Linked DNA regions of Callithrix jacchus. The protein of the gene in region 2 purifies or fractionates together with the protein of the main gene of each other region. This does not show direct contact. Links are inferred from orthologs where the notes say so. Each region holds a gene or a part of one and is shown on either strand. Other genes may lie near its edges.

What was found.
Region 1: the proteins of DMD (region 2) and SNTB1 purify together in Homo sapiens (co-immunoprecipitation; 4 studies listed by BioGRID and IntAct, counting the BioPlex papers as one, with this or other methods). This does not show direct contact. The link is inferred for Callithrix jacchus from reciprocal best matches to the Homo sapiens genes DMD and SNTB1.
Region 3: the proteins of DMD (region 2) and SNTB2 purify together in Homo sapiens (co-immunoprecipitation; 4 studies listed by BioGRID and IntAct, counting the BioPlex papers as one, with this or other methods). This does not show direct contact. The link is inferred for Callithrix jacchus from reciprocal best matches to the Homo sapiens genes DMD and SNTB2.

What each region holds. Positions count from the first base shown.
Region 1 is NC_133517.1:76,670,374-76,675,627, forward strand, and holds part of SNTB1 (beta-1-syntrophin), read left to right. Parts: intron 1-1,596; coding exon 1,597-1,813; intron 1,814-2,307; exon of another isoform or gene 2,308-2,350; intron 2,351-5,254. UniProt on the Homo sapiens protein: Adapter protein that binds to and probably organizes the subcellular localization of a variety of membrane proteins. May link various receptors to the actin cytoskeleton and the dystrophin glycoprotein complex.
Region 2 is NC_133524.1:34,127,893-34,133,246, reverse strand, and holds the start of DMD (dystrophin), read left to right. Parts: upstream 1-1,730; 5' UTR 1,731-1,972; coding exon of another isoform or gene 1,973-2,003; intron 2,004-5,354. UniProt on the Homo sapiens protein: Anchors the extracellular matrix to the cytoskeleton via F-actin. Ligand for dystroglycan.
Region 3 is NC_133521.1:26,737,473-26,742,826, forward strand, and holds the start of SNTB2 (beta-2-syntrophin), read left to right. Parts: upstream 1-1,875; 5' UTR 1,876-1,892; coding exon 1,893-2,472; intron 2,473-5,354. UniProt on the Homo sapiens protein: Adapter protein that binds to and probably organizes the subcellular localization of a variety of membrane proteins. May link various receptors to the actin cytoskeleton and the dystrophin glycoprotein complex.

The DNA.
Region 1 (5,254 bases), on a different chromosome or scaffold from region 2:
TAAAGGACCATATTACATGCATATGGGTATATTTGAACTGCTGATTAAATTTTGTGAACCTGAACTGTCTCTCATGCTCCTAGATCCTTTAGTTAATGGGTTATTTGAAGGCATTTTATTCCTGTTATAAAACAGCTCATTCTACTTTGAGCCATGGTTTGTGTACTTTGTCTTATGTCCTCTCTTAGGTGGGTTTCTGAAAAGCACAGCATCTGTCTGGAGGAAGTGACTTTGCAGCCTCCCAAGCTTAGAAGCTTTTGTCGGGCCAAGAGCAGGGGGCAGCTATGAGTTGTTCTCACTCACCACACAGCAGCTAGGATATAGGAAAAGGATTCTAGATGGGACACCAACAGCATCCACTGTAGTCACCCATGATTTTGTAACACTGGGTATAGAGGGTACTGTTCATCTCTGTGGTCTCCATACTCCTGTCCATGTCTTGCATAGAGAAGGCACTAGTTGGTGGAACTGATTTGTCAAAGATCTGGAGGAAATGCCCCCTGGTTTGCTTTTATTCCAATCCACTGCCATTTGTAATAACAAATACCTGTGAGGGACTTAACCAAGTCTCCCCAGGCAGCACAGAACCAGAGTATGTGGGTGATAGAGAGAGAACATGCAGTTGTGTATTGCATGTTCCAAGAATCTCATTGCCCTGTCAACTCAAAAGCTGTCTAAGGACCAAATGCTCAAATTCAGAATAGGCAAAAATCCTTCTTAATACCACGGCAAAACACATCAAGGAGCAGAACTTCAGTCTGCTCCACTTGGCTCTTAAGCTAGTTTTGTTTTCTTAAGCATTATGAAAGTAATACACACATACGGTTAAACACGAAAATGATATAAAAGAGTAATAAATAAATAGTAAAAGCCTATTTCTTAATCATTGTGGCTTTTATTTCCAATTCCCAGAGCTAACTTGTCTTAGCAATTTCTTATATTTCTACCAAAAAATAATTGTAGGCATATAAGCACATATTTATGAATTTATATACAAAGATATTACAGTATATGTATTTCTTTCTCCTTTTTTCCCTACTAATAATAGATCTTACAGGTCTTTCCACATCAACACATCCACACACACACACACACACACACACACACACACACTTTTTAAATGATGATATAGATGTCTTACAATTTAATTAATCTGTTCCTTTTTAATGGATATTTACATTGTTTCTGGCTATCAGCTCTTACAAATAATTTTTTTGCTATTACACATTTTTTATTTCTTTGTATGTGTTTCCTTAACACTATTAAATTGAAAGCCCTATCATTGTTTCTCAACAGAAAAATGGCATCATGAGTAGTGAATGTAGCTACCCTATTCCTTACATCTGTATTGAATAATGTATCTTTTAGCCTAAATTATCCTTGTTTTCAGCCTTTTTCCCAGAATGCAAGACTTATAATCAGAAAATGTAAAAATTGTCACAGTTGAAAAAAACTAGACACAATTCTCAACTGTAGGACATTATAACAGCAAGTTCTAAGATCCACAGAGCTATATAATTTTCAGAAATACAATCAGACTTCCCAGAAACTCAGTTTTGGTGTACTTAAAAGCACTTCCTGTCTTTTTGATTGCAGTGAAGTACATGCGAGAAGCCACGCCCTATGTGAAGAAAGGATCCCCAGTATCTGAGATTGGGTGGGAAACGCCTCCACCTGAATCCCCTCGGTTAGGGGGCAGCACCTCAGACCCTCCGTCATCGCAGTCCTTCTCCTTCCACAGAGACCGGAAAAGCATCCCTCTCAAAATGTGTTACGTCACTCGGAGTATGGCCTTGGCCGACCCTGAGAGCAGGTAAACAGAGTCAAAACTCTCCTCCGTATCTAGCAGCTACTTGGCCTCTTAGGCTAAGTGGGAGCTTTCACCAGGTTGCACTCATGTTCTGAAAACACATTGTAGCCTCCAAAGAAAAACATGAAAGGGCGTGTGTGTGTGTGTGTGTGTGTATGTGTCTGTGAGAGAGAGAGTGAGAGAGAGAGAGAGAGAAAATGAATCTATACACTGAGCCCTGGTTCTGGAAAGAGCTGAAAAACTGGAATCAGCATCCTAAATGTCTTCAGCATATTATCATTACCAGTGCATGTGACTTAGGGCAAGTTTCCTAAACCACTTACCCTCAGTTTTGTCGTCTCTAAGATGGGAATAATTGAAATAGATGCCTTGTTGGGTTGTGAGAATTAAATGAGGAAATCCATGTGGTGTCGTCTGCATGTTTGTCCCCTCCAAATCTCATGTTTAAATGTGATCCCCAAGGTTGGAGATGGGGTCCAGTGAGAGGTGTTTGGGTCATGGGGGAGGATCCCTCTGATGGCTTGGTGCCTGCCAGAGGTGGTGAGTGAGTTTTTGCTCTGTTAGTTCAAGTGAGAGCTGGTTATTTTAAAAAGCATGGCATACCTCCCCTCTCTTTCTTGCCACATGACTTATTGGCTTCCCTGCCCCTTCCACCATGAGTGGAAGCTCCCTGAAGCCCTCATCAGAAGCAGATGCCACAGCCATGCTTCCTGGTACAGCCTGTAGAAACATGAGCCAAATAAACCTCTTATCTTGTAAATCACCCAGCTACAGGTATTCATTTAGAGCAACACAAAATGGATTAATACACCACGTAAAGTACTCAGCACAGGAAAATCTTCCATGAATATAAGCTCTAGTAATGTTTCTTATTTATGTTAGACAGTAATAAGCAAATTCACCTTTCTGGGCCCCGGTGCTGTCAACTGTATACTTGGAGGGTTAGCTGAGAAACGCTTTAAAGCTATTTTCTACTCTAAGCATCTCTTTATGCTCATGAGAGCAAAAGGAGTGGCTTTGGTCCAAGTCTGGAATGCTGTTTCCCAGAGTCGGAACATGACTTTGCATGCCACAGGCTAGATATATCACCCAACCCATGGCAACTATAAGGAATGCAGCCAAGAGCAAGTAAAATTTGGGGTCCCTCATCCCCCAGAAGTCTTACTTTAGCTCAGTAGAAAACATATATTTTAGGAGGAAAATAAGATAAATAAAGACAGTGAGGAATTGAGCCAGCAAATGGGGAAGCTTGGTGACCTTTGCATCCACATTAAAGTGCTAAAAATAGGAACTGCTCAACTGGCCCTTATTTAGAATGTGTGTGGGACAGCTGCAACCCACCCGAACAGAAAGTATTTGGCTAGGTTCAGAGTTGCTGATGGGGAAAAGTCATCAGGAATAGGGGTAGGGAGAAAGTTCCTTGGCTCCCAGCTGAATGTCTTTTTTGTTCTCATCTCAGTTAGCTCACTGTAAGGATGCTGCCAGGGCCCTTCTGACTCTGGCCAGCTGCAGGATGTTTCTACCCCTCTCCCCCTACTCCTGTATTAGTTATTTCTGTACAGAGATCGGCCAGTTGTACGAGAAAGCCAGCAAGCATTGGGAAGAGGGGTAAGAGCAGACAGACTGGGAAGGAGACAGAGCTCATCACTGGTCCACTCTCGTTCTGTTCTCTGTTTTGTTCCCTACTGTTTCTTCAGAGTGTCTGGGCCTGCAGTCAATGTCGTGGGTACTCAGTCTCCTTTGCCTTGGCCTTCTGCCCACCCAGTCAAACAAGTCCCATCTCCCAAGGATCTGATGTCAAAGTTTTCAGTTGTGATGAATTCATGTTGTAATATTGAGTGCCCATTATGTGCTAGACATTCTGCTAATTAATGTAGACCAGAGATTGCAGAGTGGCAGCCTACAGATATGTTTTTTTGAATGGCCTGTCTAGTGTTTAAATAAATTTTAATCAGCTGCCATGTTCAATAATTGGGAAATTTCACATTTAAAAAGCCAGATTTCTGCTTTTCTAGAAAAGTTGGAGGAATTGGTGATGTTACTGGGCCCACATCGATGCAGGCAGGGCAGTGATATACCAGAGCTCAGTAGAGTTTTCTCCATTGACAAGGGAATGAACTCTTCTCACCACTCCTATGACCTTATGCTTAGAGAATTCAATTAATCACCTGCTTAATCTTTGAATTTGTAACCCTGCTTAGTCCTCTTAACAGCTCTCTCAGTTTCTATCATGTCCCTATTCTACAGACAAAAAATTGAGACTAAATATGTTTATAGATGTTCTCAACATTATATAACTGTTACATAGTCTAACTGGGCTTCAAACTGATGCCTATAAAATGGGTGACAGTGTCAGTTAATCATTTCCCGAAAAAATGCAAACGAAGACAAAAACTGACTGGGACATTGTAGGAGCCATTAATATACTAGGGAGAAAATTTAAGAAGATGACTTCTTGGGTTCCTTTCGGAAATCAACTTACATGCTACAATAGCACTCCCAGGTCATTTAATTATATGTTAAGGAATATGTTGGGGGACATCAGACCTTAATCGAGATATTGGAAACTTGAGTCTGTGTGTCAAGCCAGGAGAGGAGAATAAGTTTCAAGCTTTTATATTGGTGCTTGTCAAGTCTACCACTGGTGATTATACACAGGGCTTCCCTGTTCTGCCAGGGTGTGAGAACCATCAGGACGAATCCAGCTAAGCCAGATGATTCTCAAGGAACACCAGGTCCCGACAGGTCCCAAACTTCTGCTAACAAGAAGACTGGGGGCCTATGTGAGGCTTGCCCATGGTAGAGGAAGAGAAGAAAATAAACAGGAAACAAACATTTTGTGAAACTCCAGTTACAGGCTGAGCAGGGTATGGTGTACCAGTCAGAAACATGGAATCTGCAAAACCCAACTCTGCTGAATGCAAGAGACACACCTAACGGAGTGATTTTAAAAGGTGAAAGATACAAGGATGGGCAAAAGCTTACCAGGCAAATGCCAACTATTAAATAACAACAGAAAGCGTTGATTTTTGATCTTGATAGAAGACAAGGTAGAATTCAGGCTGAAAAACATCCAAGGTTAAATGTCCATAAAGTAGCACAAGGAAGGATTAATTGATGTCGAAGGCCAGAGTTCACAAGCAACATTCAGTAGTTCTGAATACATACCACATAACACAACAGCAACTTTTATAGCAGAAACTGCAGAAGATGCAAGAAGAAACAGACGGAAACATATTCACATTAGATATTTCAACATATACCATTTTCCATCCAAGTCAGGGCAAGTAGAGGACACAGATAAAGATAGTAACTCCCCCTTATTCATGGAAGAAATGTAACAGGACCCCTAGTGGATGCCTGAAACCATGGACAGTACTGGCTCCTCTACATACTGTGTTTTTTCCTATACATACGTATCTATGATGAAGTTTAATTTATAAA
Region 2 (5,354 bases):
ATTCCCCAGGACACATTTTTTTGTTACATTTAGAATCACAGTTGTTTTTTAGAAACATACACTTCAGGGTTTCTCAAAGTTGACCATGCATTCGAATCACCGGTAAAACAGTGCTGGGTCCCAACCCCAGAATTTCTAACTTTTGAGGTCTCGTGTCAACTTGCACTTCTCCTAAGTTCCCACGTGATATTAATGCTGGTTTGGGACTGATAAATTGTATCAGTTAGGCCTTGGCCTAAAGAAGGGTTTACGTCTGTAGAAAACTCACAGTACTAGATAAAAGGGGACTTATACACTGGACAATATTGTACCTCGTTATATAGAAGGACATTGATGCTAACATGTAGACTTAGAGCCAAATAAGCCCCCAAATCATTTTTTTACTTTTTTCATGTTGTTCTATGAAAATTTTGCTTATCTGCATATTTAGACAATCACACTGAGAAGAAAGCTGGTAACCTACAGAAAAGAATGTTATAAATCTATTTTGAAAGAAGTAAATTAAATACAATTACCTTAAAATTAGGCCTTATGTTTTAGTTCATATACATTTTGCTGGGGAAATAGCAGTTATGACAATAATATTCTAAAACACAAAATGAATAATTAACTATTAAGGTAAACATCACAGTCTGACTCAATATGTTTTTTTTATTTTTATCTGTTACTCATTTCTGCGGCAAGCAGTTGAATGTTTGACATAGAAAAATGAGTCTGTCACTTTAAAAAATGGTACAATAAAAACACTCAAACAAAAATTTTAGTAGGGATTATTATAACTGTAAAAGGAATATCTTTCTAAAAAATATTACCAGTGTTTCCTATCAATTTTGGGCTCGCCTGTTGCATAAAAGTAATAAGGAAGAAGACAAAGTGGACTTCTATTGGCAAAGAATGATTTACATGCTGAATGACACAATACAACTGTATTCATTTAATACAGGAAAAAAAAGCCTTTAATTAGAACCATTAAATGGTCATTAACTCATTGTCTAAGAAAACGGTGTTTTAAGAATTGGCACCAGAGAAATGGAAAATAGAATAATTTGGTAGTAAAGAAGTTTTATCATAATTCACAACTGAAATTTAGGATTTGAGAAAAATTTATTTACTCCATTATAAGAGTGTTCTTTATTTCAGCAGGAAAACTTGTCCCATGAGACCTACACAGACATTCTGCCTTCAGAATTCAGCTGCTGAATTCTGCTGCTGCTTTTCTTATTCAAACTGTTGGCATCATCAATACATGACTTTTGATTGGATCCCAAGGGTAAAAAATAACTTTGGTAGACAGCAGATACATAACAAATGCATAGATTATTCTGGGCATTTCTTTCTTTTGGTAGAGTGAAATTTTTGGTGTTGTTAAGAAGGGGAAAAATGCATTTAAAAGTCAATTTTGAATCAGGATTTTCTGCTCTGTTATTTTGTAAATTCACGTAACAGTTACAGAAAATATTGTTATGGTTTGGTACTGAATAGTTTTTGTGTTTAGAAGGCTTTAAAAGCAAATACTATGTCCACTGTGCTATTCTGGTTTGGATATTAATCAGAACACAGTTGAGCATTATTTGAATTCACAGAGCTTGCCATGCTGGAAGCACAACCTTATATGTAGTGACCATGGACAGTCCTATTATGGGAAACCAACTTGAGAGAGAAGGCGGGTCACTTGCTTGTGCGCAGGTCCTGGAATTTGAAATATCCAGGGGCCTCTACAGAATCCTGGCATCAGTTACTATGTTGACTCACTCAGTGTTGGGATCACTCACTTTCCCCCTACAGGACTCAGATCTTGGAGGCAATTCCCTTCAGAGAAAAACGAATAGGAAAAACTGAAGTGTTATTTTTTTAAGGCTGCTGAAGTGGATTGGTTTCTCGTTGTTTTTAAGCCTACTGAAGAAATAAAGTTTGAAGAACTTTTACCAGGTTTTTTTTTTTTAATTGCTGCCTTGATATACACTTTTCCAAAATGCTTTGGTGGGAAGAAGTAGAGGACTGTTGTAAGTACAAAGTAACTAAAAATATCTTTTACTGTGCCATAACGTTTAGTTTGTGACAAGCTCACTAATTAGGCATATTGATTTTAAGTGAGTAGTTTGCAAAGAAGCATAAATGTTATATATACTGCATATATATATATTTTTTTCAGGTATTATATTTTTCATTGGGAAAACCTTTCAACAGAAATGGAGTTTAAAAGAGTTTTTTTGTGATAGAATTAAACACATAATTTCTTGATTAAGAAACCACTGAAGTAATAGAATATGCAGAATGTCATTTGAGTATAACAGACTATTTTGATTGCTGTGAGATAGTTTGTATTTCTGAGTTATTATTTTGATTAGTTGGTACTTCTGTATTTAGTTACAGTTACATAAAGGTTACTGACCTGAGATATATTCTCAATTGAACTAATTACTGTATAGGAACTACATGGAGGCCTAAAAGTTAGGAAAAGTTTGTCTGACATATCATGGGGGAAATAAAGGATAATATGAGTTGGGATGGATAATTGGAAGATGGGAAAAGTATTGACAAGATTTAACTGTAATGTTTCTTACTCATATTTACTATTTCAAATGCTCTTTTCTGTAGTGTATTGTGATAACTTTTTCAAATAATTATTTCAAACAAATCACACAAATAATGATATGATCTATGCTCTCAAATGATCAGATGATCTCTTCTTGGGAAAACAACATACAAACTTGAGGAGATCCTAATTATATTTCATAGTAAAGTTACCATGTTGTTTCATGTCTATTATGAGCTAGCTTTTCAGTACAACTTTTTAGTCTGGCTTTCATATAGAAATGCAACTATTTTGTGTATTTTTAAGAAAGCCATGATGACTAATGAAGGATTTAAAAAGGGACCGAGGCACAACAGTAAAAATAATGTACAATAAGGATTGTGTGTCCCAGAGATGGGAGATTATCTCTTCCTCACCCATCTTTGACTTGTGGAATATAGTTATTCTAAAATAGGTATGAGGGCAATGCCTATAATTAAGAATGAAAAAATAAATCTTTCTAAATAAGTAATACTCTACAACTTCTAAAAACAAAATCAGAAGTTTGCCACTGTGAAAAATTTGTGGAAATAAGTTAACATTGTCCATGTATTGATTCACATTAAAAGCTATCAGATTTTATAATATAACAGTTAACTTATATTGTTTCCTTACTTCATAAATCTCTTTTGGTGAGCATCATTATTGCTTTCAGATTGAAAAACTGTTATACTTACTATCATTACAAAAATATGCATGGTATATATCTGTAGTTTGCAACATACACACATATTTTTTATTTGTTGTTTTTATTTCTTTGATATTTATAACATAAATACTATCAAAATCACTAGTGATTATATATATATATATATTCTACATAATTAAACTCATACACAAGTATATAATGCAATTTTGAAAGAATAGATGCAATTATGCTGGAATAAAGCAAGGTAAACCTACACTCTGTTTTGTCATAGATACTCAAATAACTCTCAATTCTTAGAATGTGAAGAAAGCTAATCATTTTGGGACATGTCCTGTAGGATTTTTTCACACTACATTTAAGAAATCATCAAGTAATGCCTATGCCACATGACAATGAATTTGTTAAGAAAAAAATAGAGATATTCTCAGGGTTATTTTATACATTAAATTTTGCTGTTTGTTAACATACTGCTATTGGGATGTTTGACATTTGAATCCAGTTTTAAAATTTGCCTTAGTTTGAAAAACTTACAAAAGTACATTTTGTTGTTTTTAACCAAATTAGCTACCCGTTAAAACAGATCACTGTATTGTCAAACACATTGAATTGTTTACTTTTAGAATTACTCAAATAATGCATTGTAAAGAATTATTCAGGCAGTGTATTGCAAACAGACATTTCATTTGAATATATTTAAATGATGTAAGTCATCTTGAAGTCTACTAAAATCGTCATTTAGAATTTCATTTGCAGAATCTTAAAGGCATTTTAACTATGAAAAAGAGATTGCTAATCTAAATTGATGATACAATGTTTAATACAAAGCTTTTGGTGTATCTTACATGGCATTAGATTATGAAAAATACATTAGAGTATGTCATATGTATGTTACTCTAAACTTTAAAAAAGACTACAAAGTGTTTCATGCATAATTACATTATTTAAGGGAAAAAAGATGTTGGTTGACACTATTCCACCTAGGCAGCACTGAATTGCAAATTCATAATTTGGGCAGAGATATTAATACAGCTTCCTCTTTAGTCCTATAGTATTCATTTGAAATCCCTGTGCTCCACGTCATTTGCTACGTAGGAAACAAATTGTCAAGTTTTTAACCACTTGTGTTGTTTAATAAAAGAGATTAAAATCATTGTCTTGGAAACATCAGGTGTTTTTCAAAATTCTATTTTATTATCTTTCATCACAATTTTATCTCAGGAGAAAAACAAAGTGACTTCACGAACTTTTCTTCTCCTTCCACCTTCTATTGTAATAATTTCCTAACTTATTGAAAATGATTTATCATACTTTTTCTTCAATTTATTCTTTATTTCATCACACATACAAGAAACACAGTATTTTGGTATGAGTATATATGTTTATATATACACACATTTATATGCATTCAATTCACAGGGTATTACATTTCCTAAGAGGTTCTAATTAGAAATTAACCCCTCTTTAAAGATAATCTTCTGTTCACTTTTCAAAATTTTCTGTTTTAAACACATCATTTTCTAAGCAATTGACAAGTGAGTCTAATGCATGTTCCCTGTTTGACAAAACAGAACAAACCATGAAGGAAGAATTTATGGGGCCCGAGGTTATACAATTTTGGGTGCTATTTTAAGAAAAAATAATACATAATTAGACACAGCCTTGGGAGGGGCCATGTAAATAAGGCTTTAATAGTTTCTTGGGAAATCACCTCTGTATGAAAAGCTGTGTTGAGATTGAATTTTTTCCCAGTTATACTTTAAAATAAAATTGATGCTAGTTATATTTCTTTAGAGCATTTATTATTTCTCAAAGACAACCTTTTATTTAATGCAGATTAGAGAGTTAAAAGAATTTATAATGGCAGGAATTTGACATTTCTCCCTTTCATTCTGAAAAGATACATTGATTAAAGTAATGTCAAACTCAGTTAATGGAGGCGGCGCAGTTATTTGAAATATACAGGGTATGTAATGTGAAGGCACGCCAAATCACAATGACAAGGAATAATGATGACCTTGGTTTATTTTTATACAGTACATTCAGGTTTTGATTGGATTGAGAGAGAGGCAATGGTTTTCTTTCTCACAAAGTCCTACTATAGTACTAGGAGGTTTGTGTTCTGTTATCAAG
Region 3 (5,354 bases), on a different chromosome or scaffold from region 2:
GGATTACAGCCACTCCAGGCTCTGTAGTGTGCATAGCAGTGGCTCATGGCCTTTGGTCATGGCACCTTCCTGCCAATTGGATGAATCACAGGCTTCAAAAATAACCTTAGAGACCAAATTTTGCATACAGTTTTTGGGAATGTGCATGTACACTTGCCCCAACAAAAGGCCATGGCCTGCAGGCTAAGAAAGTCAGATCTACAAAGTCGAGTCCAAACTCTTTGATGTTTTCGCTTTTCATACTCATATCCTCCCATTTCCACTGACCTTATGCTCTGTTCACATTGGAATTCTGGCATCTTCCTCAGTAACCATCTGTGATGGTTAATTTTGCGTCAATTTGACTGGGCTAAGGGATGCCCAGGTAACTAGTAAAACATAACCTCTGGGTATATCTGTGTGGGTGTTTCAGGAAGAGATTAGCCTTTCCATGGTAGACTCTAAAGATCACCCTCACCAATATGGGGAGGCAGCATCCAATCAGTTGAAGACTTGAATAGAACAAAAGGGCAGAGGAAGGGGGAATTCACACTCTGCCTGAGCTGGGACATAGATCTTCTCCTGGTCTCAGACTTTGGTGCACCTGGCTCTTGGGCCTTGGCATGGGGATGCGGACTTACATGATCCTCCCCACTCCCACCCTCACCCTCTTCTCAAACTTCCTGTTTTGTTTTTTTTTTTTCCTTTCATCCTAACATATTCTATCATGCACTCAAACTTTCTGTTTTTAGACAGGGTCTCACTTTTTCACCCAGGCTGGAGTACACTGGCGTGATCTTGGCTCACTGCAACCTCCATCTCCTGGATTCAAGCAATTCTCCTGCCTCAGCCTCCCTAGGAGCTGAAATTACAAGGGCCTGCCACCACACCCAGCTAATGTTTTTATTTTTAGTAGAGATGGAGTTTTCACCACGTTGGCCATGCTACTCTCAAACTCCTGACCTCAAGTGATCCACCTGCCTCAGCCTCCCAAAGTGCTGGGATTACAGGCATGAGCCTCCTCTATCAGGCCCCTTCTCAGACTTTCTTCCCTTTCTTTTTTTTTTTTTTTCAGTTTCATTCTTGTTGCCCAGGCTGGAGTGCAGTGGTGCCATCTTGGCTCATCGCAACCTCCACCTCCTGGGTTCAAGCAATTTTTCCGCCTCAGCCTCCTGAGTAGCTGGGATTACAGGCACTCGCCACCATGCCCAGCTAATTTTTTGTATTTTTAGTAGAGACGGGGTTTCACCATGTTGACCAGGATGGTCTCGATCTCTCGACCTCGTGATCCACCCGCCTCGGCCTCCCAAAGTGCTGGGATTACAGGCTTGAGCCACCGCGCCCAGCCCAAATGTTCCTTTTATACTGTTCTGGGGACATTTTCTGTATGTCATTTAACCACGTATTATCACACCTAGTTGGTTGGTTCTGTATTTTCCTTCCCCACTAGACCGCAGACTCTCAGCTGTTGCTGGTACTACTGCGCTTATCTACAGGGCCTCAGAAGGAGCCGGAGTCCCTGGTTGAGCGCTCAGTACACAGGGTGCGAACCAATCAGTGCAAGAATGAACGTGCCACCGGGTCTTGCATGCTTGCAAAGTGCTTCTCCAAGCTGATTTTGCTTTTCGTGCCCAGGCAGCTTCCGTGAATTGCACGGTAGAGGTCAATAGTTTCTGCGGGTCCGTGGGGAGCCAATGGAAGGAGGATGAGAAATGCAGTCCCACCGCACTCGGGCTGCCCGCGTCCGGCGACAAGCGAGGGATCCGACAGCTTCTGCACCTCCCGGAAGCGGCTGCGCCGGCCCCGCCCCTCGGGAGGTGGGCGTGGCATCATGAATAATGAATCGCGCCGGGGAAGGGCCGGGCCCGCCCCTCCGGGCGGGAAGGGGGAAGCGCTGAGGCTGCCTGACTGGAATGAGGGTAGCTGTGGCGACTGCGGCGGCTGGAGAGGGGCCGGCCATGGCGGTGTGGACGCGGGCCACCAAAGCTGGGCTGGTGGAGCTACTCCTGAGGGAGCGCTGGGTCCGAGTGGTGGCGGAACTGAGCGGGGAGAGCCTGAGCCTGACTGGCGACGGCGCCGCGGCCGAGCTGGAGCCCGCTCTGGGACCCGCGGCGGCCGCCTTCAACGGCCTTCCGAACGGCGGCGGCGCCGGCGACTCGCTGCCTGGGAGCCCGAGCCGCGGCCTGGGGCCCCCGAGCCCACCGGCGCCGCCTCGGGGCCCCGCGGGTGAGGCGGGCGCGTCGCCGCCCGTGCGCCGTGTGCGGGTGGTGAAGCAAGAGGCGGGCGGCCTGGGCATCAGCATCAAGGGCGGCCGCGAGAACCGGATGCCGATCCTCATCTCCAAGATCTTCCCGGGGCTGGCCGCCGACCAGAGCCGGGCGCTGCGGCTGGGCGACGCCATCCTGTCGGTGAACGGCACCGACCTGCGCCAGGCCACCCACGACCAGGCCGTGCAGGCGCTGAAGCGCGCGGGCAAGGAGGTGCTGCTGGAGGGTGAGTGGGGCCGGCCGACGGGGCGGGAGGGTGGGCGGGCCGCGGCGGCTTGGGCTCGCGGGAGCTCACTTTGTTCCTTCCCTGCCGACGGGGCGAGCCGGTTCTCTCCCCGTCTCTTCCCAAACCCGGGTTTCTGGAACTTAGAGTGTGGAAAAACGGATGCTTCTTGCAGGAAAAGTTGGGCAGCCGCCGAAGTGTGGCTTGCAGCCCCTAAGGAAGACTCGGCTGAGATTGGGCAAAAAGCAGCTTCCCATGAAGCTCCCCCTCGGCCGGATAAGCTGACACTAAGAACTAGAGGGAGAGCGAACGGCTCGAGTGGGTCTGTCTCCGTTTGCCCGCTGAGAAGTGCCGGGTTGGCGCTTAACTCACTCAACTCTGGCTCTTCGGGGCGGGCAGGTCTATTAAAAAAAGTCCAACACCGATGCCAGCGGTATACTTGGGCAAACCACCAAAGCGCTGGTTAATTTATGGGAATTTAACCCATCATTGGCTCTCAACAATAACCAAAGGAGATCATAGCACTTCATTGAAGCCAGAAAGCTGAAACAGCAAGTCTGTGTGGTTAATGAACCTTAACAGTGGAGGATCACGTGTTTGAACATTTACTGCCAACTAGAGTTTTGCCCCTTTTGCAAGAGTCTGCTGCCAGCTTCCTTCCACTCACAGGCGCGCTGCTTCAAGACTATTACGGCTTTTGTAAGAAACTTGAAATGGTAAATCACAAGATAACTTTCAATAACCAGGATTATTCTTTACATTAAGTTATATATGTGATTTGTAAGTTGGATCTTTTATGATGAATTTGAAGTAAGGCAAAAATAAAATTCCTCTCCTTTAAGGACTCATGCATATTGGAGGTGATAGAGTAAACTGTAAACGAAAAGTCAGTTGCTTTCTTTAGCAATTTTTGAGAGGTCAGCTTTCTTTCACTGGTGATTATTGCTAGCTGTGTTGAAAAGAATATGAAAGAAGATGCTGTCCCTTCTTGGTCTCTTATTGGAGAAATGATAGAAAAATGCAAAACAACTTATAGGAAGGAAAGGGATGAAGTTGGTGATTATGTCGTGCAAACTGTATTTAAGTCCCAAGGGAATGCAAAGTTAGAAAGTAGTTAGTAGAGATGGAATTAGGCAGGCAGGACTTTTTCCCTGAGCCAGTTCTCCAAGGAAGTGATGGACATAGGCAGGCAGGGATGAGTCAGGAGAGTATTCCTGGCAGAGGAAGACAGAAGGGAAGGACCAATCATCAAACCGAGAGGCCAGAAGTCCAACTTGGCACAATAATTTTCAGTTTCTTATAAATCAGCTTGTGAATATTTGGAAAAATACTGGTTTATCAGAAATGATTTCATGTACACCAGTTGTGAAATTCGTGTCCCACCTTTATAATATCCTATTTGTAAACCTTGTTTATTTTGGATGTCTAGGTGGGGCTAGACACGGCTCGGAAATTTAGTGTTAATAGAAGGAGTAAAATTATAGATTGTGGTTTGGGTGTGTCTAAAAAAATTGTTATTTTGGCCGTGCGCGGTGGCTCAAGCCTGTAATCCCAGCACTTTGCGAGGTCGAGGCGGGTGGATCACGAGGTCAAGAGATCGAGGCCATCCTGGTCAACATGGTGAAACCCCGTCTCTACTAAAAATACAAAAAATTAGCTGGGCATGGTGGCACATGCCTGTAATCCCAGCTACTCAGGAGGCTGAGGCAGGAGAATTGCTTGAACCCAGGAGGTGGAGGTTGTGGTGAGCTGAGATCGCACCATTGCACTCCAGCCTGGGTAAGGAGCAAAACTCCGTCTCAAAAAAAAAAAAAAAAATTGTTATTTTAAATGTGTGCCTTGAAATTGGTCTAGCTAAGCATTTGGTTATAAATTCTTATATCCAGAATATTGAATTTAGTACTATTTATGTAGTCCTCAGTTGAACCCTTTACACCATATTTTTTAAAAACAACACTTTTTGGCCAGGCGAGGTGGCTTATGCCTATAATCCCAGCACTTTGGGAGGCCAAGGCGGGTGGATCACCTGAGGTTAGGAGAACCCAGCAAAACCTCCTCTCTACTAAAAATTCAAAAATTAGCTGTGGGTGGTGGTGCACGCCTGTAATTCCAGCTACTAGGGAGGCCGAGACAGGAGAATTGTTTGAACCCGGAAGGCGGAGGTTGCAGTGAGCTGAGATAGCACCACTGCACTCCAGCCTGGGTGACAGAGCAAGACTACATCTCAAAAACAAACAAAAAACCCACTTTTTGTGTAGGTATAGTTTGAACATAGTATTCAGACCAGCAAAACGAAAACCTTGTAGTAAATGCTTCCCAGTATTTGTTAGACTAAATTGGCCACTTATGCTTTTAGGAAGATGACAGCATAATAACATTTATTGAATGCCTTTTTACCTAACTCAGGTGTTACTTTATTTTCCCACTTTGTATAAGACAGTTTTTGTCCTTATAAGTTGTGAGGAAGTCAATATAGTAAATTTATGACGTTGCATTTTCAAGCCACTCCGTGTAAAAATAAAATTACTCAAAATATGTAAAAACCACTGAAAACAATGATTTAGTTGAACCAGTCAAACATTATTTAAAATTGAGAGCTGGTGTCCTATCCGGGTAGGCCACTTTTAAGCGATAGATTTTAAGTTTAGTCTTTAAAGTTTTCAAACTGTACTGGATTGTCCTTCCATTAGATGTCTCAAAACTTGAAAAACTGCCATATCATTGCACAACAATGCTTTTTTGTGGTGTGGGCAGGGAATTTGAGGCATGCTCTTGCCAACCCCACACCAGGGAAAGCTACAGTCTTTGATTGCCTGTGGTTAGGGAATCGAGCTAAAAGTTTCCTTTTAATCTCGGGGATTTGCAGGAGTAATTCACTCATTCAT